Stegostoma tigrinum: one gene and its partner. The protein of the gene in region 2 interacts with the protein of the main gene of each other region in a biochemical or structural test. Links are inferred from orthologs where the notes say so. Each region holds a gene or a part of one and is shown on either strand. Other genes may lie near its edges.

The links.
Region 1: the proteins of nmur1a (region 2) and nmu form a complex in vitro, tested with the Homo sapiens proteins (2 studies listed by BioGRID). The link is inferred for Stegostoma tigrinum from reciprocal best matches to the Homo sapiens genes NMUR1 and NMU.

Annotation. Positions count from the first base shown.
Region 1 is NC_081354.1:108,882,944-108,893,929, forward strand, and holds the start of nmu (neuromedin-U), read right to left. Parts: upstream 4,669-10,986; 5' UTR 4,452-4,668; coding exon 4,325-4,451; intron 585-4,324; coding exon 526-584; intron 1-525.
Region 2 is NC_081367.1:37,989,162-38,000,474, forward strand, and holds the start of nmur1a (neuromedin-U receptor 1), read left to right. Parts: upstream 1-6,491; 5' UTR 6,492-7,094; coding exon 7,095-8,022; intron 8,023-11,313. UniProt on the Homo sapiens protein: Receptor for the neuromedin-U and neuromedin-S neuropeptides.

The DNA of each region.
Region 1 (10,986 bases), on a different chromosome or scaffold from region 2:
AGATTGTATTTTTCTGATGATTTTTACTCATACAGTGTGTAGATTGTCAGTGGGATTTTTTAATCATCGACAAAACTTGGATAAGTAAGTGTAATGTTGCTAAATACAAAATTATGGGAGGATATGTATAAAGTACAACAGTAATATTTGAATTTTTCTTGATCTCTCAGAACATTCAATACACAAAATGTGTGTTGATCGCAAAACGATAATTATTTTTAAAACATTTACATTTTCTCTAAGATTTTCTCTGGCTGCTAAAACTTAAGAAGTACTTGATGGAGCTGGCATATCTGTGGCATTGTTTATTGTCTGAGAACTGTAAACAAATGTGTTACAGATGTGATTCTTCAATCGGGCAAATCCAGTAGAACATAATTCCCAGATAATCATATCCTCCATACCAACAGTTTTCACTTCTTGCAGTGCGCCTCATTTATTTTTTATACCTTGCTTCCACATTTTCATTGATAAAACTGGGTTTAGTTGATTGATTTCATTCAAATTCAGTTTGGCTACAATTACCTCACTCCAGAGACGTAGCTTCTGTTCTGCTGGAAACCGCTGAGGTGATGCAAGAACACCTGCAAAATTGGTTAGACATAAGATTGTGTGCACCAACTATATACCAGAAATTACAATTATACAAATCCTGATACAACAAAATTATTATGATTTTTAAGCTTAATTTGGCTTCTGTGTGAAAGGGTAAAACAGGCAATAGTGAAAGATAATATTGGAAATAAAAGATAAGATGGAACAAGGTTACTGGCCTAATGTCACGAGTTTTACATTGTCAGAGAAAATTAAAATTATCCCAAACATTTTTTGTTTCTTGCTACTGACTGGCAATGATTTCAAAAATAACAACATCTTGTAGTCTTATATGGCCTCTAGTGTAGTAAACTATTTGAAAACACTTTGAAAATATATAATCAGACACAGATTGATACTGAATCAAAGCAGGATTCATCTGGACACTTGACACTTAAGAAGTTTGCTTAATGAGATATCTTTTAATGCTATTTTGGAGAATAGCAGAGAAGTGGAGGAAGAGATATAGTGTAATTTCATTCTTAGGAGAAATCTATCAAACTAATAAGAAATATGTTGCAACTGAAAAACGTTTACAAAGATTATAAACATTGGATAAGTGTCCACTAATAAAACAGATTATGAATTTGACTTCTGGTATGCTTATTTTGATTATTAATTTCAAGAATTAGTTCTGGTTTGCCTAGCTCACCTATTATATTTTTTCCCATTTAACCACAGGTAGCCAAGGGCTTGTTTCTTGTAAGTTACATGAAAATAATCCCCAGGAAACATTGTGAATTGTGGATACAACATACAATAGCCTCAAGGTGAGAACATTTTACTTCTTTGAGGAGATGATCATAACATGCTTGCATTGAAAAATAATCTGACCACATAGGAATGTACATCATCCTGAAAGGTCAATTTGAGAATTATAACTATTATTGTACATTTGCCTCAGGCTTTTGATCCTGAACATTCTAGATAGTTACCCATCTATAAGATAGTAAATGTTGCGCTTTCAGTTCTCTGACCTGAAGGATTCTGTTGCCACTTTGCTCACCATCGAAACACCCGTCTATAAAGTTGGGAAACAAGGTGGCCAAGTTCAAATGTAGGTTTAGGCTACAGTTAAAATTTATTATTACTTCACCTTGAAATCCAGTGTTAGGTTTACTACTCAAATGCTTATTTTTATTAAACATGTTATCACAAAAATATGAAATATAAAAATTGCATTATATTTTAGCAATTTGAAACTAAAACTGCCAATGAGATTTTAATTAGAATGAATGTATGAAAGATCGTTCTCTCCTGAAGCATGTAACAATGAAATTTCTCACAAAAGGAAGGATGGTCCTTTCCTGGAATGCAGTGACTTTTTTTCCTCCAACATTTTGGTATATCTAATAAGTTAGTTTAATAATGTGTTCTTTGCCTGTTACTTTTATGTTATAACTAAGTATTAATCATTCTGAAATAAAAGACCTATTTGCTGAGCACTAAATTATTCTATCATAAATTAATAATTTCAACATTCATTTGTAAATTGTACAAATATGTGTGATTGGTTTCTTTGTAATCATTGGAATCCTGTAAGGTTTTTGAGATATGGGAGCATTAGGCTTTGACCTTCAATATCAATTTATGCTTTAATTTCACAGGAAGTGCAGTATAATCAAAGCTTTCAATGAAATTCTAACTAAGTCAAGATGACATAATAAGAGCAATTCAGAGGAAAATCCCAGTTAGACGTCCAAAATAATTCTCTCCCTAATTTTATTCCTTTCCTATGGACATTCATAACATACTTAAACAATTTATTTTTAAAAGTACCCAATTCACAAGTTTAAATGGGAAGTATTTCTTTCAGTCCAATAATATTTTTATCGATTGCCACTGTCTATGAAGGGAAAAATAGATCTGCTTAAGAGCTCTAAGTAAATGTAGTATCTCCTTAACAAACATTAATTTTACACACGTTTAACTGAATTTCGCTCATACATTAACTTTTTTTTGTGATTGACTACGCTCTCAAACTGAATCTTGACAGATTTTCTTCTCAACTTAGTTTGAAAAACACAGTTAAGTTGAAATGCTTTCCCACTTTTATAGCAAAGGATAATAAAAGAACAGATATAAATATAACAGCTTGTTTTGATTTGTTGTGTATCATGTAAAACTGAAAAAAGATGTTTTAATTTTGGGTGAAGAAGATGAAAGTAACTATCACGTAGGTTTCTAGTAAAATCAAAATATTAAATGTTTAACACAACTCAAATAGTATAATAAAAATGATTGTGTATAATAGTGATTGGAAATTGCAGTTTTCATTTTACACTTTCATTGTCATGTTATCTTGTAATTTGTTTGTAATTTTGCTTTAATATTTTTATTGAATCAGCAATATACTGAAACATCATTCTAAGATCACTTCAATTCAATAATGCCCTAGTTTAATTTTTTTCCTATTCCATGCAATAGTATAATCATTTCCCTCTGTATATCACAGTTCATAACTCTAAACATGCAAGTAATACCTTAACAAACAAGTTTTATGATCCTAGTACTAAGCAAAGCTCTGTCTTTATTACATGTTTATTGTCTACCTGTACACTTTTCAAATGCTCTACCCAGCCGTAAGGAATATAACACTAAGTAAGAATAGCTATCCTATAGTATGTCCCATTTTATTTGAATTGAATCAGCATTTATGAATGCCAAGAATCAATGGCATTGAATAAAGTAAACATTTCTTTCCTGTTAAGTAAATATGCAAAGTTGCAGTGTCTCTGTCCTCAGCTACATCATTATATTGGACTTCTGTTGTAATAATCAGCTTCATTGCTTTCCTAAGAGCAAATTAGATTCATTCTCTAATGAAGATGAGGACTAATCTCAATAAAACATTTGAGATGTTACAGAAATGTAATTGGAATATTAATAAAGAAATAAATGTCCATTTTTTTCCGACATACTCCATCCCAAATCACAGAACTTAAGTGGACCTGCAGGACAGGTTATAAGGGAAAATAAGGATATTATTTTGTAAGAGGATTTAATATTTTTAATGAGTTTTTTTGATGAATTTAATGAATTTTTTAATCTTCCAAAACACACTATTTACTATATCTATTTGAACAGCCAGGCATCAATGCTAATTTTCTGCGCTGTTCATTTGCACTTTTCAACCTTGCTAACATTTCAGCTAAAAACCATCACACACTATCCAAAGATCAACTCTCAGAACACAGAGCAGGGACTCCTGGATATTCCCTGAACCAGGCTGATGAAAAGAGTTTCACTTCAATTCCAACATTAGCTCATTGGTGAAACTATTGAAAGATCATCTCAAGGCGTATCAATGTCAAACTCTACAAAAGCAGGGAAAAACGAAATTTTCTATTTTTATCTGGGAGGTTATCTAGTCTGCAGAGATCTCAGGGACCGCGGCCAGTATCACAAATCTTAATAGACATTAAACATTGTACAAGATTGCACTTTCTTAAGCAATGTGATTACATATGTCGAGGTCGTCGTTGTTTATTTGTATAAATAAACCAAACGCTTCCTTTTCAACTTAGCAGTGAAATTAACGATCATTGACTTTTTTCACACGGGGTAAAACGACAAGCGACTAAAAGAATAGAAAAAAAAACAAAGCTTAAAAGAATTGTAAAAAAATAACATTTTTACTGGAAACAAGTAAGACAATATTGGCAGAAATATGACGAGGAAAGAAGAAAGGAGAGGAGGAGGCGGAGAGGTTGAAAGTTAACACTGGTACCTTGTGAGAAACACGAGCTGGAGAGCAGGAACAGTGAAAGTGCGAGCATGCAGTGAGGGTGCTTCATACTGCGTCTCCGCGGCGCTCTTGCTCCTCCCCGGCACTGACAGAGATTGAAACCCAGCATGCCTGGTCCACACGATCTTAACTAGGCAACTCAGATCCTGGTAAACTTTCACTGCTTGTGCATCTCCACTCTTAAAAACAGTCCCCACGTCAGTATCGACATGTCCAAACGTCATGAGTCTTCAGGACACGGTGAGACAGATACACCATGTGCTGGCATTCACTCTCCTTCTGACTTTGAAGAAGTTCAGCTTCGATCAATATCCTCGGCAACTCCCTTTTCCTTTCTGGTTCCCAGTCAAAAGCAAAGAGCAGCTACCCCCTCCTCCAACCCTTCGCTCCAGCTGATAGCTGGGGGATATTTGAGGCATTTCTGTAGGTGGACAAGGCTTTGTCTCATTTAAAAGCCACTCACTAGCGCAGAGTTAAAATCGGACCCGTTCATGCTCGTCTTGTGCACATTCCGCCTCATTTCATAAAGTTGGCTTGCCTGGCTATTTTCCGGGTCTCGTTCTCTGATCAATTCAGCCAGCGTTCCTTCGCTTTGACCTACAGTTGTTTGAAAAACCTTACAATTCCAGTGTCCATGAACGCTGAAGACAGTTACTGAGTAAGGGATATACCAGCTGGTTTCTCGCTGCCTTCCTGCTTGAAACTGACATATTAACTCCTTTCCCAAACATTCCTCGAACTTTAAGCATCGACCGTTAGGGTTCCACTCTCTCTGCTCTCACCACCAATGTTCAGCCGTTGACCAGGGGCTCAGACGTTCCGATAAAAGATAGTAGTTGGACAATGACAGGAACACAGAATTACCATGGCGCAAGAGGAAGCCATTCGGCCCATCATGCTTACACCAGCTCTGAAAATGAGCTTCATTACCCACTGCCAATCTCCTACATTTCCCCCACAACCTGCAATGGCCTCGAATGTTTCAATTGAACCTGCCTGCACCACTATCCACATAAAACTGCTCATTCCAATCTAACAAACCTCCTCTGAACCACCACCAATACATCCTTCATCAAATAAGGAGGCTAAAACTGTATAACAAAGTGTGGAGCTGGATGAACACAGCAGGCCAAGCAGCATCTTAAGAGCACAAAAGCTGACATTTTGGGCCCAGACCCTTCATCAGAAAAGGGGGAGGGGGAGAGGGTTCTAAAATAAATATGGAGAGAGGTGGAGGTGGATTGAAGATGGATAGAGGAGAAGATGGTGGAGAGGAGACAAACAAGTTAAAGAGGCGGGGATGGAGCCTGTAGAGGTGAGTGTAGGTTGTGAGGTAGGGAGGGGATAGGTCAGTCCGGGGAGGATGGACAGGTCATGGGGTCAGAATGAGGTTAGTAGGTAGGAAATAGGGGTGTGGCTTAGGTTAGGGAGTTGGGGACAAGCTGGGCTGGATTTGGAATGCAGTAGGGGGAGGGGAGATTTTGAAGCTTGTGAAATCCACATTGATATCATTGGGCTGCAGGGTTCCCAAGCGGAATATGAGTTGTTGTTCCTGCAACCTTCAGGTGGCAACGTTGTGGCACTGCGGGAGGTCCAGGATGGACATGTCATCTGAGGAATGGGAGGGGGAGTTGAAATGGTTCGCGACTGGGAGGTGCAGTTGTTTATTGCGAACCGAGTGTAGTGTTCTGCAAAGTGGTCCCTCCAACCCCACCACACCCGGCACTTTCCCCTGCAACTGCAGGAAGTGCTACACCTGCCCCCACACCTCCTCCCTCACCCCCATCCCAGGCCCCAAGAAGACTTTCCACATCAAGCAGATGTTCACCTGCACATCTGCCAATGTGGTATACTGCATCTACTGTACCCGTTGTGGCTTCCTCTACATTGGGGAAACCAAGCGGAGGCTTGGGGACCGCTTTGCAGAACACCTCCGCTCAGTTCACAATAAACAACTGCACCTCCCAGTCGCAAACCATTTCCACTCCCCCTCCCATTCCTCAGGCGACATGTCCATCATGGGCCTCCTGCAGTGCCACAATGATGCCACCGGAAGGTTGCAGGAACAACGACTCATATTCCGCTTGGGAACCCTGCAGCCCAATGGTATCAATGTGTATTTCATAAATTTCAAAATCTCCTCTCCCCCTACAGCATCCCAAACCAGCCCAGTTCATCCCCGCCTCCCTAACTTGTTCTTCCTCTCACCTATCCCCTCCTCCCACCTCAAGCCGCACCCCCACTTCCTACCTACTAACATCATCCTGCCTTCTTGACCTGTCTGTCTCCTCAGACTGACCTATCCCCTCCCTAACTCCCCACCTACACTCACCTCTACTGGCTCCATCCCCGCCTCCTTAAATTGTCTGTCTCCTCTCCACCTATCTTCTCCTCTACCCATCTTCAGTCCACCTCCCCCCTCGCCCTATTTCTTTCAGAATCCTCTCCCCCTCCCCCTTTTCTGATAAAGGGTATAACCCGAAATGGCAGCTTTTGTGCTCCTAAGGTGCTGCTTGGCCTGCTGTGTTCATCCAGCTCCACACTTCATTATCTCAGATTCTCCAGCATCTGCAGTTCCCATTATTACTAAAACTGTATACAATGTTTGAATTGTAGTCTCTCCAGTTCCCTGTAAAACTAAAGCAACATTTTTACTTATGTGTTCAATTTAGCTTGTAATAAAGAACAGCATTCCATTAGCCCTCATTACTTGCTGCACCTGCATACTAACTTCTTGTAATTCACACACGAGAATACCCAGAACTTGTAACTCATTTTCTCTTTAAATAAAAAGAGAACAACTTCACATATTCTCAGATTACAGTCCATCAGTTAGATGTTTATCCATTCACTCAACCTATTTATATCGATCTGCATCCTCCATATATCGCCTTAGGAATATACATTCCTACCTATGCTTGTGTCATCTGTAAGATTAACAACCATGTCTTTATGCCCTTCATTAAAGTCATTGATATAAATTGTAAAAGCGGAGACCACAAAATAGATCCCTGTGGGACTCCACTTGCCAGATCCTGCCAATCTGAAAAAAAGACACATTCATGAGTAAATACAGTGTGAAGCTGGAAGAACACAGCAGGCAATTGAAATTTCATTCCTGCTCCTCTGATGCTGCCTGGCCTGCTGTGTTCTTCCAGGACCACACTGTGTTGTCTGACTCCAGTATCTGCAGTTCTTGCTATCCCCCATTTATGAGTAATCTCTGTTTTCTGTGAGCCAGCTAGTCTTCTCTCCATGCTAACATGTAACCCTCTACACTTTGAGTCCCTGCTCTGTGCAATAGCATTTCACATGGCCCCTTCACAAGTGCCTTCTAGAAACCCAGAAGTCCACAGACTCCCCTTTCTCCACAAACATGTTCATATAACTCAGATAAACTGGTTAAACATGATTTTCCTTTCACAAATCAATACTGACTCCAACACATTGCCTTGATTTTCTTGAAGTGTGCAGTAATAACCTTCTTTGTGATCAATTCTAATGCCTTCTGCTCAACAAATGTCAAGCCAAACATGTTGTTTTTTATGTTCTCCCCTCTTGACTAGATTGATTATATTTGCTACTTTACAGTTTGATGGCACCATTCCAGAATCTTGAAAATGTTGCCACATTAACACCAATGCATCTACTACCTTACTCATAACTTCTTTTAACAGCTGAAGATGAAATCCATCAGGAACTGAGAACTTGTTAGCTCACAGTTCCGTCAGTTTGCTCAGTACCACTTCCCTGTAGATTTGTATTTTCACTGAGTTCCACTCACTCTCCCATCTACTGGTTTATAACTATTATTGGAATGTTTTTTTTTCGCATCCTGGAAAGCGAAAAGAGAAGGAAAATGTTACTTGCCACTTATTATCCTTGTGATGAGACTAGGAATACCACAACAAGTAACTCATCTCCTGACTCCTCAAAGCCTGTCCACCACCTACACAGCACAAGCCAGGAACCTGATGGAATAGTCCCCACTTGCCTGATGAGTGTAGCCCTAACAACACTCAAGAAACTTCACACCATCCAGGACAAAGCAGCTTGCTTGATTGGTACTACATCCACAAGCATCCACTCTCTCCACCACTGACATTCAGTAGCAGCAGAGTACTGTCTACAAGATGCACTGCAGCAAAGCATCAAAAATCCTTAAACAGCACCGTCCAATCTCAGCATTCACTTCCATGTAGAAGAACAAGGGCAGAAGATACATGGGAACACCACCAACTGCAAGTTCCCCTCCAAACCACTCACCATCCTGGCTTAGAAATATATTGTTGTTCCTTCATTGTTGCTGGGTCAGAATCTTGGAATTTGATCCCCAATGATATTGAGGGTCAACCCAACAGTGTGCGGATTGCAGCAATTCAAGAAGATAGCTCTCCAACATCTTCTCAAGGGCAACTAGAAATAATCAATAAAATTGCTGGCCAGCCAGTGACGTCCACTCCCACAAGGGATTTTTAAAAATCCCAAATCTGAAGGTTGCCCTGGTCTTGTTGCATGTAAGACTGGCTGATTCAGTAGCTGAGAAGTTGTGAATGGTGCTGAGTATTGTGTAAACATCCCCACTTCTGACCTTAATGGAGGGAAATTGGTTGATGAAGTAATTGAAGATGGTTGCGCGTAGACACTATCCTGATGGACTCCTGCAGAAATGTCCTGGAGTTGAGAAGGTTGAATGCCAACGAGTACAAACATGGTAAGAAATATGAACTCATGTTTTTCTTACTACTGACTAATAAGATTACAATTATGAATAAAACACCATTGGGCTGGGTGTAAAGAATATTTATGATATGCTAATGAATCTGAAAGAGATTTTTTACCATTATGATCAAGAAGGTTGCCTAAAAGTTTCAGAGAACTTACTTCCAAAGCTTTAAATTGATATTGGGAATCTGAAGTTTGGCCTCATACCCAATTTAGTTTTCCCTTGCACGCTACTGAACACCCCAGGTGAACTACAAGATTCCATCCCATCATCTGTAAGTACAATGGTGTGGATGCCTTTGTCAGGCTGTTGGTTGACTTATCTATGGCACAGCTTTCCAAATTTTGGGAAGTGCAAGCACCCATATCTCAAAAAGTGGGACTTTGTAGTATTAATAGTATTAATAGTTGCTCATGGTCTGGAATCACATGTTGGCCAGACTACAGCAGATGTACCTTCGTGAAACAGGTAGGCTTTTACAACAGCAATTTCATGGCCACCATTTTTTTTTAAGTTCTATATTTATTAATTCACTTTAAATCCCAAAAAACATCTGTGATGGGAGTTGAGCCGATATTCCCAGTCTATTGGCCGAAATTTACTGGATTATTAGTCAATGACATTCTAGCTATGCACTTCCTCCCATAGACAAAACGCCTGTGCACAGATTTGCAATCTGCGGAAGTGTGAGTGGAGGGAGCTCACATGTTAGTTCTCATGCATGTGTCTACATGATACTGTTTGCTTTGCGAACTGTTACAACAGTACCCAGAATGAATAACTTGTGTGTTGATTAGAAGGTGTGACCATTTTTGTGGTTATGTATCTCTAGTAAAATGAGAGTTTGTGATGTATTTAGAGGATGGCAATTGTTACCCCTTTAGTTTGCATTAGATCCTATTGTGTCCCCAGCAAGCACGGTGACTGGACTTGAAACATTAACTCTGTTTTCTCTCCACTGTTAGTCCTGTTGAATTTCTCCAGCAATTTCTGTTTTTGTGTGTGCTCATTCTACTGCGTGGCTGTTGGGAGATTCTACTTCGAGACGTCTCTCATCTTCCCTGTGTCAAACGTAAAACAGGAATGTTTTTGGTATTTTACTTTGTCGTAGGATTAATAGATTCTGGAACACATTCAGAGAAATTAAGACATCTTTACACATTGCTAGTGTTGTTATTATATAACCTTCTAGGATCTAATTCAGCAGGGGGATGGGCACCAAAATTGTAGTTCGACTATAGAAAATGTTGAGAGTAGAGTGGTCCGAAATAAAGTTTCAGGGAAGCAAGATGGCACTGGCAAGCAAGAAGCTGGATTGAAGTGTGTCTACTTCAATGCCAGGAGCGTCCGGAATAAGGTGGGTGAACTTGCAGCAGGGGTTAGTACCTGGGACTTCAATGTTGTGGCCATTTCGGAGACATGGATAGAGCAGGGACAGGAATGGTTGTTGCAGGCTCTGGGATTTAGATGTTTCAGTCAGAACAGAGAAGATGGTAAAAGGGGCAGAGGTGTGGCATTGTCGGTCAAGGACAGTATTACAGTTGCAGAAAGGATGTTTGGGGACTCGTCAACTGAGGTAGTATGGGCTGAGGTTAGAAACAGAAAAGGAGAGGTCACCCTGTTGGGAGTTTTCTATAGGCCTCCGAATAGTTCCAGAGATGTAGAGGAAAGGATAGCAAAGATGATTCTCGATAGGAGTGAGAGAGACAGGGTAGTTGTCATGGGGGACTTCAACTTTCCAGATATTGACTGGGAACACTATAGTTCGAGTACTATAGATGGGTCAGTTTTTGTCCAGTGTGTGCAGGAGGGCTTCTTGACACAGTATGTAGATAGGCCAACAAGTGGCGAAGCCACATTAGGTTTGGTACTGGGTAATGAGCCCGGCCAGGTGTTAGATTTGGAAGTAGGTGAGCAC
Region 2 (11,313 bases):
CATCAGAGATTGTGATGGTGGGTACATGGACATTAATAATGGTCAGACATTTACTCGGAAAATCAGTAGAATTATTTTCAGGAATACTTGCAAGCTCAGGTATCTGATTGGATGATATGATATTATATATAGATACACAAAATTGATCAAGCTCATGAGTGAGGAGGCATGAATTGGTTGTCGTTCTCTATTCACCTGTCCTCTTGGTTGGTTGCAATAAGGTTAATTTGGAAAGAATCCTTTCATTTGTGGGTGCCTTTCTCTGAGAACCAAATGCATTTATGTTTCAAATAGAACTAATGTAACAAAGCTATATCTTGGCTTAAGAAATGAGTGAGTTTATTAATTATTAAATGTGAGAAGTAATAACACATACACACAGATTAGAAATGAGAGGTGAGTCCACAAAAAATGTTGGAAAAGATATTCATATCAGTCTCTGAAAAGCAGACCCTGGGATATTATCTCCAATACATTCATTGATACCAGTGACCTGATGCTGGAAGGTGAGCAGTTTGTTCTGAAATGTTTGATTTTGCACAAAAACAGAAGTTGCTGGCAAAGTTCAGCAGGTCTAGCAGACCTGAGGAAGGGTCACCAGACCCAAAAGTTTAACTCTGATTTTTTCTTCACAGATGTTGCAACTTCTGTTTTTGTTCCTGATTTACAGTTCTTTTGGCTTTTGCTTGATTTTGGAGATTCGCTGGAACTCATTTTGCTCATCATTTTACTTATTTTTTGGCTTCCAGCACAGAAAGAGAAACTTAGATAACACGGTGTGAAGCTGGATGAACACAGCAGGCCAAGCCGCATCGGAGGAGCAGGAAAGCTTGAGGTTTCAGGTTGGGACCCTTCTTCAGAAAGATAAACTTATATTCTTTTTACCTACATTGCAGGCGCAGCTTAGCTATGAATCTTACAGCACACACATTCACCCTGTTATAATCTATTTGTGAAAGGAAGATTGAAACATGAGTTCTGCAACTTCTAGGACTATCATAAAAGTTAAAGTTTTAATTATATTTATCAACATCACTAGTTCACTTGGCTGACAAACCATGTTCATAGATAAAATTGACTAGATTTCTGTACTTAACAAGGTTGTTAATAAATTATTGTTTATTTCTAATAATTGAGTTTAAGCAGGCAAACAAAATATGACTTATAACCTAGAACACCCAAACTTAAACTATACCCCTCCTTAAACTTTCAGACAATATGTAGTCAGAAATAGATAAGCAAAAATAAAATGTTACGGATGGTGGAGGGCATAAAAAAAACACAGTTTAATAGCATGTGTCCACGGAATTGAACAAAGTGCCCTTTTGCTTCTTCCAAACCCTTCTAATCTCTGATCTGCTTTTTCTAAGTTCCTTCATTTCTTTACTGAAGCCATAGGGCAGTTGGCAAGTTAATTGTTCAGTTTTTCTGCCACTGATTAGAGGCAGCAGCTTATGGGGAAATAGTGACTAAGGATAGTCCGCGATCTACCAATTTTTTGTTACTTCTCTTCAAGGAAAGAGGGGATGTTATCTTAGAGTCAGAAGGTTTTCTGTCTCTGTATTGTTGACACATTGGCTTTCATCTGTTCAGAAGCCAGGCGGTTTTTGCTATGCTGAGCTTTCCAGACTCTCATAACTGGCCCTGATTATAAAAGCATCTGCAGCCTGTTTCTTGTTTTTCTCCCATCACATGTCACAAATTATTCACCTGCATCTGATAGTGCATAAAATAAACTTTGCTTCTGGTTTAGCTTTATCATAGTGTTATTCTGGTCCTTTTAAAGTCAAAGTCCACAACAGAGGGAGTGTGGGAAATATATTCTGCTATTTAAAATAAGGAGTAAATTAAATTACATTCTGCCTCTAGAGAGATGGCAAATATTGGTAAGTATACATTTGTTTGAAAAATTCACCATTCGTCCACACAGAAATTTGGCATTCCATCCAGATTGGATCAAACAAGGTATGCTAAAAATTTAGCCAAAGGGTACAAAATATGAGTAAAGTCTAAATACCTGTATATGAAACAGACTAAAATAAACTGATTGGCAGCGTAAGCATTTAAATTGGACAGACAAAATGGTTTGTAAAACAAATTGACTGCAACAAAACTTTATTACTTTAAGATTAATGAAAGGCATATTTTGATTCAAAAACATTCTTAGATCAAGATAACTGCTGAAATGTTAGCTATACTAAGCATAGACCACTAGAAGACTGTAGCTAGATGATTAGAAGTGAAATTGCACAGCAACATAAACCAAAAGGACACCCTTAAGCTGCTAGCTGAGCACAAGGACATAGTCCCATTCCAGAGCAGCTGGATGAAAAATTGATTTTTGAAGTAGCCCTATCCCCTGTGACCGGCACAGAGTTGGCAATACTCAGATTGCAGCTGGAGGTTTGGGAGAGATAAAGGGAGAAAGCAAGAAGGAATGAGGTTCTGAAATGGAATTATGGCTCAGTGAAAACTTAAGTAAACAGACGGAATTAGGGAAAATCCTCTCCACTCAGATGCAGACCAAATGTGCCTTCCCCAGAAACAAGCTTTGAAGTCCTAAAATATTCTTGATTCATTCCTAAATATGGAGTAGAATATGTGGACTCTTTTTACAGGACTTTTAAAGAGGCAGTGCTTTGCAGTTACAGTGGTCATGAATTTTTGTAATTCAGGGTGAGTTAACAGGAAAGGCCCAAAAGGTCCCCTAAATGACCCCTTCTTGTAGCAAGGAGACCAGAATTGCACATGATATTCCGAAAGTGGTCGAACCAATGTCTTACACAGTTGCAGAATGACCTCCCACCTCCTATACTCAATGCACTGTTTTAACTTTATGTAGTAACCATAGAAACTGGGAGCAACAGTCGACTCCCTTGTTCGCTCCACACTGCCCTCCAACCCCACCACACCCGGCACCTTCCCCTGCAACCGCAGGAAATGCTACACTTGTCCCCACACCTCCTCCCTCACCCCCATCCCAGGCCCCAAGATGACATTCCACATTAAGCAGAGGTTCACCTGCACATCTGCCAATGTGGTATACTGCATCCACTGTACCCGGTGCGGCTTCCTCTACATTGGGGAAACCAAGCGGAGGCTTGGGGATCGCTTTGCAGAACACCTCCGCTCAGTTCGCAACAAACAACTGCACCTCCCAGTCGCAAACCATTTCCACTCCCCCTCCCATTCTCTTGATGACATGTCCATCATGGGCCTCCTGCACTGCCACAATGATGCCACCCGAAGGTTGCAGGAACAGCAACTCATATTCCGCCTGGGAACCCTGCAGCCATATGGTATCAATGTGGACTTCACCAGTTTCAAAATCTCCCCTTCCCCCACTGCATCCCTAAACCAGCCCAGTTCATCCCCTCCCCCCACTGCACCACACAACCAGCCCAGCTCTTCCCCCCCACCCACTGCATCCCAAAACCAGTCCAACCTGTCTCTGCCTCCCTAACCGGTTCTTCCTCTCACCCATCCCTTCCTCCCACCCCAAGCCGCACCCCCAGCTACCTACTAACCTCATCCCACCTCCTTGACCTGTCCGTCTTCCCTGGACTGACCTATCCCCTCCCTACCTCCCCATCTACACCCTCTCCACCTATCTTCTTTACTCTCCATCTTCGGTCCGCCTCCCCCTCTCTCCCTATTTATTCTAGTTCCCTCCCCCCATCCCCCTCTCTGATGAAGGGTCTAGGCCCGAAACGTCAGCTTTTGTGCTCCTGAGATGCTGCTTGGCCTGCTGTGTTCATCCAGCCTCACATTTTATTATCTTGGAATCTCCAGCATCTGCAGTTCCCATTATCTCTGCAACAGTCGGCCATTTGGCTCTTCATGCCTGGTTTGCTATTCAATATGTACATGATGTGGAGTTGCCAGACTGGGGTGGACAAAATCAGAGATTACATGACACCAGGTTATAGTCCAACAGGTTTATTTGAAAATACAAGGTTGTGTTTTCAAATCATCCTGTTGGACTATAACCTGGTGTCTTGTGAATTCTGAAAATATAATCATGTCTTATCCTTTATTTCAAAGCCAAATTTCTGCTTTGTCCCCATATCTCTCAGTGCTTTTTAAATCTAAAAAACTTACTTATCTCTTTCTTGAAAATGTTCAGTGACTTGGTTTCTACAGCCTTCTGTAGTCGAGAATGCTACAGTTTCACTAGTCTTTCAGTGAAGAAATATTTCCTCATTGTGGTCCTAAAAGGCTTACCTGTTTACTGAGACTGTGGCCCTTGGTTGCAAACACCTCACCTTCCCTGCATCTACACATTTCAGTCAGATCCCCTCTCATCTTTCTCGGCTCTGACGAATACAGGCCCAATCAAACAAAGTTTTCCTCAAAGAACAGTCCTTTAATCCACAGTACCAGCCAAGCGAGCCTCCGCTGAAGTCCTTCCATGGCAACTATATCCTTTCTTAGCTAGGGTGACCAAAACTGCATGCAATACTTCAGATGTGTTCTCACCAAGGCCCCTATAACAGCAAAAGGGCAGCTCTACATCTGAATTCAAATTCTCTTTGCAATGAAGGCATATTATTTGCCATCCTAATTGTTTGCTGCACCTGCCTGTTTACTTTTATTTACTAATGTACAGGAACACATGGATCCCTTTACATGTCTGCATTTCTCAATATATCACCACCCAAATAATAATCTGCCTTTCTGTTTTTCACACTGAAGTGTTCACCTTCTCATTTACCCAAATTATATTGCAACTTCCATGCGTTTGCCTACTCACTCAATTTATCTAAACTGTCTTGAAGCATCCTTGTATCCACTCACCATTCGCAATCCTGCCTAGTTTTATATCTTCAGAAAATTTGGAAATGTTCCTGTTACATCATGATAACTGGGGTCCAAGCATTGATCCTTGCAGTAGCTTGCTTATCTGCCACTTGGAAAAAGATACATTTATTCCCACTCTCTGTTTTGTGACTTTCGATCAATTGTCAATCCAACTCAATATATTACTCCCAGTTCCATATGTTTTAGTTTTGTCCACAAACGTCTTATTTGGGAGATCATCAAAAGCCTTCCAAAAATTTAAGTATGCCACATCCACTGGTTCTCCTTTGTCTATTCTTCTTGCTACTTTCTCAAAAAAATCCAGTAGATTTGTTAAGCGTAATTTACTCTTCATAAACCTTTTCTCAAATACAGTTCATGCTTTACAATTTTTTTATCATGTACTTCATAGTGGACTATAACATTTTCCTTACTCTTGATGTTAGGTAAATTGACCTGTAGTTCTGTGTTTTTCTCTCCCGTCCATTTTGATCAGTGGGGATGGCATTTAACACCCTCCAATATGTTGCTCCAGAGTCTTCGAATTTTGAAAGATGACAACCAATTCATCCAATATTTCTAGGGCCAATTGCTTTAGTACTTTGGGATGTACATTATCAGATGCTAATAATTTGTTAGCCTTTAACTCCATCAATTTCCTGAAAAACAGTTTGTTACTAATGCTGATTTCCTCCAATTCCTCCCTTTCACTAGACCCCTGTTTCTGTAACATTTCTGGCAAGTTATTTATGCACTCTTTTACCACAACACTACTACAAAGTCTGAGTTCACTAATACTGTGGAATAAAACAATAAAAAAGGGAAAAATGTAATAACTATTTTCTTATCAATTGTGAGAAGAGGGAAGATTTATTTTAAAACTTGCAATCTGTCCATAAGAAAACTGCATTTAGCTAGCATCGGTATTACAATATTTAGAACAGCGATTTGAAACAGCAATAATCATATTGTAAAAACCAGCAATTTCGATTTATATATTTTATACAAAGAAAAAGCACCACCTGTGAACTGTATTTAAAATGATCAAACTGAAGTCATCACGTTTCGTTTCTTCCATATTTCCACACCAGTATGGAACTCTGAACTGTGTAGCCCGCTCCTTTAAATACACGAAGATTAAATATTTCATGTACAGAAAGGAAACTAAAAACTCATATTGTCCTTCTTTAAAGATTCTCGTAGAAATGCTTATAAAATTATATTTAAGTTAATGATACAAAAGGTTCTGGATCCTAACATTTCCCACCCCAGTGCCTGGCAGACTTCACAAGACCAGCGCTTCAAACAAAGAACTGCGGATGCTGGAAATCAGAAACAAAGACAGAAATTGCTGGAAAAAAATGAGCTCAGCAGGTCTGACAGCATCCGTGGAGAGAAATCTGAGTTAACATTTTCGGTCCAGAGACCCTTCTCTAGAACAAGCACTAAGATGGTCAATGAACACAGTTAAATGTATGAAAACTAATATTGCGGGGTCTTTGTGAGTGAGTGTATACCCGGATCCTCTGAAAGGTCAGTTTTTGTTTGAAATGGAAACTTACTCTTTTCATAAAGCTCTGCATTGCAGAAATCAATTCAAACCAGTGCCGATTAACCCTCAAGGAATATCATCCGAAAGACGGGGTTGTTTCATTGTTGCCTGTAGACGTCAGAAGTGATGCGAAGTTCCATGTCCTTATAACGGCGGCAGTGCCTCAAGGCTTTGGAAATACCTGGCGCAGTGGCTGATCGCGGCGTATTCTCCCTCTCCCTGCCCACTCCGCTTGGGAGCAGTTTATACACTGGGAGCCAAAGGCTGGATTGGATGGAACAGTCTGACTGAAGAACAGTTCTCAAGGACTGAAGACTGACGTCCAAACTCAATTATTAAGAAAAGTACAGTGTCGCTGATTACTGGATCCAAATCCAGTTGACAACCAGGACTAGGAATATCAACATCACTGCGCGGACTCCGTTCATGTGGAAGCGGGGGAAAGGGTACTTTGCTGCTTTGAGAAGGGTGGAAATATTCAGGCTTTCTAATCGTGAATCCCTCCTTGTCAACGGTGAGTCTTTAGAGCACATATAAAAGGTAACAGTTTTACCCAACTCAGGGCAAAACATCTGTTCGGTAATAAGACTGATATAAAAGATTCCCAGTTTTATGATATCGAACTATAAGTTTGAGATAAGCTACAAAGTTGACGGGTTTAAAAACGATGACAGCTTGATTTAACCGTGCTTTCGGATATTCACGGACTTTCATTTAGTCTTGGACGGGAGGGAAAGGAATAATGCAACTTTCACCCAGTCAGCAGCAATTCCCCAAAAACTGTTCTCAGATGGCTTCGTTGAAGAATCGGAGCGCGTTTCTCCAAACCATCTACCAGTACTTCTGCAACGCAACCTTCGAAAAGCAGAACCTCAGCTGGAATAGCACCATCCCGGAGGACTTTTTCATGAGCAAAGAGGAGCTGCTGTTGAAGTATCTGGGTCCCAGGAGATCGTCCTTTTTCGTGCCAGTCTGTTTGATTTATCTCTGCATCTTTGTGGTCGGCGCTTTTGGAAATGCACTAACCTGCATCGTTATAGCGAAGCACAAAGTGATGAGAACCCCTACGAATTATTATTTATTCAGCCTGGCCATTTCCGATCTCTTGGTGCTGATTCTGGGCATGCCGTTGGAACTCTATGAAATGTGGAGGAATTACCCGTTTCTCCTCGGTCAAGCGGGATGTCACTTTAAAACCTTCCTTTTTGAGACGGTTTGCTTTGCCTCAATACTAAACGTGACGGCCCTCAGTGTTGAGAGATACATCGCCGTCGTGCATCCCCTGAAAGCAAAGTATGTTGTGACCAGAGCTCACGCCAAACGTGTCATCTTAACGGTGTGGCTGATTTCCCTCTGCTCAGCCATCCCCAACACCCACCTGCACGGCATCTATTATCTGAGTACCCCGTTTGGGGAACACATTGAAGAGTCCGCTATCTGCGTGCTATTAAAGCCAGCCTGGATGTACAGTCTCATCATTCAGATCACCACGGTGCTGTTTTTCTTCGTCCCGATGATCATTATTAGTATGCTGTACTTACTGATTGGATTGCAACTGAAGCGAGAGGAGGTAATTTCTGACTTCAAACCAGGATTGGGAAATGCCAACTACCAAACGGCCCGCATGGAGCAAGAGAAGGTCAGGAGGAGCCAAGTAACCAAAATGCTCAGTAAGTTTAAAAAAATGCACATTGTTACGAAAGACTCCCAGTTGAGGTTCCTCAATTTGTCACAGTTCCAGGGAATCTCTCCATGCTCCCAGGTGAGGTGGGGTGAACTGGCTCTGCATTACACCCATCCCGTTGGGTTGGTTACGACAAGGTTAAGTTAAAAATGGACCTCTTCCTCTGTGGGTTTCATTCACTCACACCCAAATGTTTTAAAATAAACAAAAGGACTCATTCCTTTGGTTAATTCAGGAAAAAAAAAGAACTGGCTAAATTGACTCCTTTCAAAGCATAAGTTAATTTGAGTCTGGGAGACAGGGGAAAGGACTCCGTCTTGAAATGAACATGGTTGCAGCCAACCAAAAGGATGGGTGAGTAAGAAAGGGGCTGGTCCATACTTCTTCACCGGGGAGCCAAACAGTTTGGGATATTCTTCTAGGACTAAACAAGTTGGGGAACCTCAGCCAGGATCCTGTCATAACAAACTAGGGGCTTTTACTGCAGTTTGAAACAACAGATGAAACGTAAGAAATAGAGTGGTAACTTACCACTTTGAAACCAATTGTTAAAAAAAACTGCAAAGGGCTTTATTGAGTTTGCAGTTCCACACACTATTGAAATGTCCGCCTTCAATCACAGTTAGTTAAGTTAGGGTAAGTTAGTTTCGAAGATTTAAATGTTCTGTCCCTTAAGCAGTTAAAAGATTGAGGGACACACTCAGGGTTAGAATTTTACCCTAAGTCAGAAACTCCAAAATTTTAGAAGGAATAGCCAATAATTTACAGACGGAAACTGAGGATGAAGCGATAGATGATGATTATCAGGAGAAAGGGTAAAATCAGAGCAGTGTGAATTAGAGTTTTAAGAAAAGGAAAAGCAACTAGAAAGAGGATTGGGGCAATACAGGCATGGACTATTCTCGAAATGGTGAGAAAATTCACAAAGCAGAAGTACAAAGGGACCTGGGAGAGTTGGTCCAGGATTCTCGAAAGGTTAACTTGCAGGTAGAGTCCGTGATTAAGAAAGCGAATGTAATGTTGTCGTTTATCTCAAGAGGGTTGGAATATAAAAGCAGCGATGTGCTTCTGAGGCTTTATAAAGCTCTAGTTAGGCCCCATTTAGAATACTGTGTCCAATTTTGGGCCCCACACCTCAGGAAGGACATACTAGCCCTGGAGCATGTCCAGCGGAGTTTCACACGGATGATCCCTGGAATTGTAGGTTTAACATATGATGAATAGCTAAGGATCCTGGGATTGTACTCATTAGAGTTTAGAAGGTTGAGGGGAGATCTAATAGAAACTTACAAGATAAAGTGTGGCTTAGAAGGGGTGGACGCTAGGAAGTTGCTTCCGTTAGGCAGGGAGACTAGGACCCATGGGCACAGCCTTAAAATTAGAGGGGGTAAATTTAAAACTGAAATGAGACGACATTTCTTCAGCCAGAGAGTGGTTGGCTTGTGGAATTCATTGCCATGGAGTGCAGTGGAGTTCAGGACGTTGGATGCCTTCAAGGCAGAGATCGACAAATTCTTGATCTCACAAGGAATCAAGGGCTATGGGGAGAGTGCAGGGAAGTGGAGTTGAAATGCCCATCAGCCATGATTTAAATGGCGGAGTGGACTTGATGGGCCAAATGGCCTAACTTCCACTCCTATGCCTTATGGTCTTATGGTCTAAGACAGCAAAGAGTAAGGAGAGAAGAAAGTTTATCGAAAAACCTGCAAGAAAAGAGTATCAATTAAGACAGTTGAAATTGAAAAAAAGACTGGAATCTTACTGCATCGCATGAAGTTACTATTGGCCAAGACTTGAGGGTGAGGCAACTCAGTTAGTCATTTAATTCCTAGCTTTGAGGAGGCAGAGATTGAAACTACCTTAGAAGACTTGACAGGATAGATACAAAAAGGATGTTTCCTCTTATGGGAGAGTCCTGGACCAAAGGACATAATCTCAGAATGAGGGTTTGCACATGTAGGACAAAGATGAGGAGGAATTTTTACTCTCTGACAGTAGTGAACCTATGAAATTCTTTCCAGCAGAGAGCTGTAGAGCTTGGTTCATTAAGTATATTCAAGTCTGAGATAGATTTTGAATCAGTAAGGGAACCAATGGTTATGGGGAAAAGGCAGGAAACTAGAGTTGAGAACTATCAAATCAGCCATGATCTCATTGAACAGCAGAACATACTCAGTTGGCTGAGTGGCCTTCTTCTGCAGCCACAACTTATGGTGTAAAGGTGGGAAAAGTGATGGACAATTGAGCCCATAATGGAAAAAATGGAAATACAGGGGGCCTTCGTGAGGACAGAAATGATAGTGCTAAGTTGAACGGTGAGGGTAAGAAGCTGATGTGTTTTCTTTGATGCAAGACAGGGCATGGTTGGACCAATTGTTGAATGCTATGGGAAAATCTAGTGGGATTTATCAGAGTGCATGTGCAATGCACAGAGAATGGGGTTCAGTCAGACAGCATATCAGGCCAGGCTATAACTCGGACTTCAACTATAAATCCCTGTGACAGCATTCCTGAGAGTGTGAATTCGGTTAAACAAATTCCTGAAATTTATTGGGACTTTGTATCTTATGCAGGAGTGGTCACATTTTCACAGGTAGAGGCAAACAGCCTACAGAAATATCAAAGGGATGCTGAGGCCAGCCAAACTCTACTGCTGGAAAAGGGCATGACCTTCCTACAAGAGAGGACAGTTAATGCCAAAGTGCTGGTAGGAGAGATTAACAGAGGGTGCATTCTCATCCCCCTTTACTGGGCGCCTATGGTGTGTGACCTTGTGTCAAGGCCAGTGACCACAAGTGTCATCCCTGATGTGGTTGTGGATGGGACTGACCTGCTTCTCAGCAATTACTTGATGGGATGAAAGGTAATAACATTCTCAGTGGTCTCTGAGAAGCCATTTGAGGTCAGGGAGACAAACACACTGTAGACACCAAGGAATGACATTTTTTTCTGTCAGCATGGTCATGCCAGCTATGGGTAGACAAGCTCAGCCACTGGAGGCTGAAGAGGCATTACAAGTGGAAGATTCTCCTGTTTGATGATCCCAAACAACTACCCAACAAGTTGACCACTATTGAAATCACTGGCTCAGACTGCTCACACTCAATCTGCGGCAGATGCAGTCTCAGAACGTGACTGGATTAAAAGTGTGCCAACAATGTGAAAAATAGCCCAGCTATGTCCTGTCTATATAAAGAAAAATAAATCCAATCTGGTCATTTACTGTCTCATCAGTTTACACTCAATCATTAGCAAAGCAATATGAGGTGTTATTAAT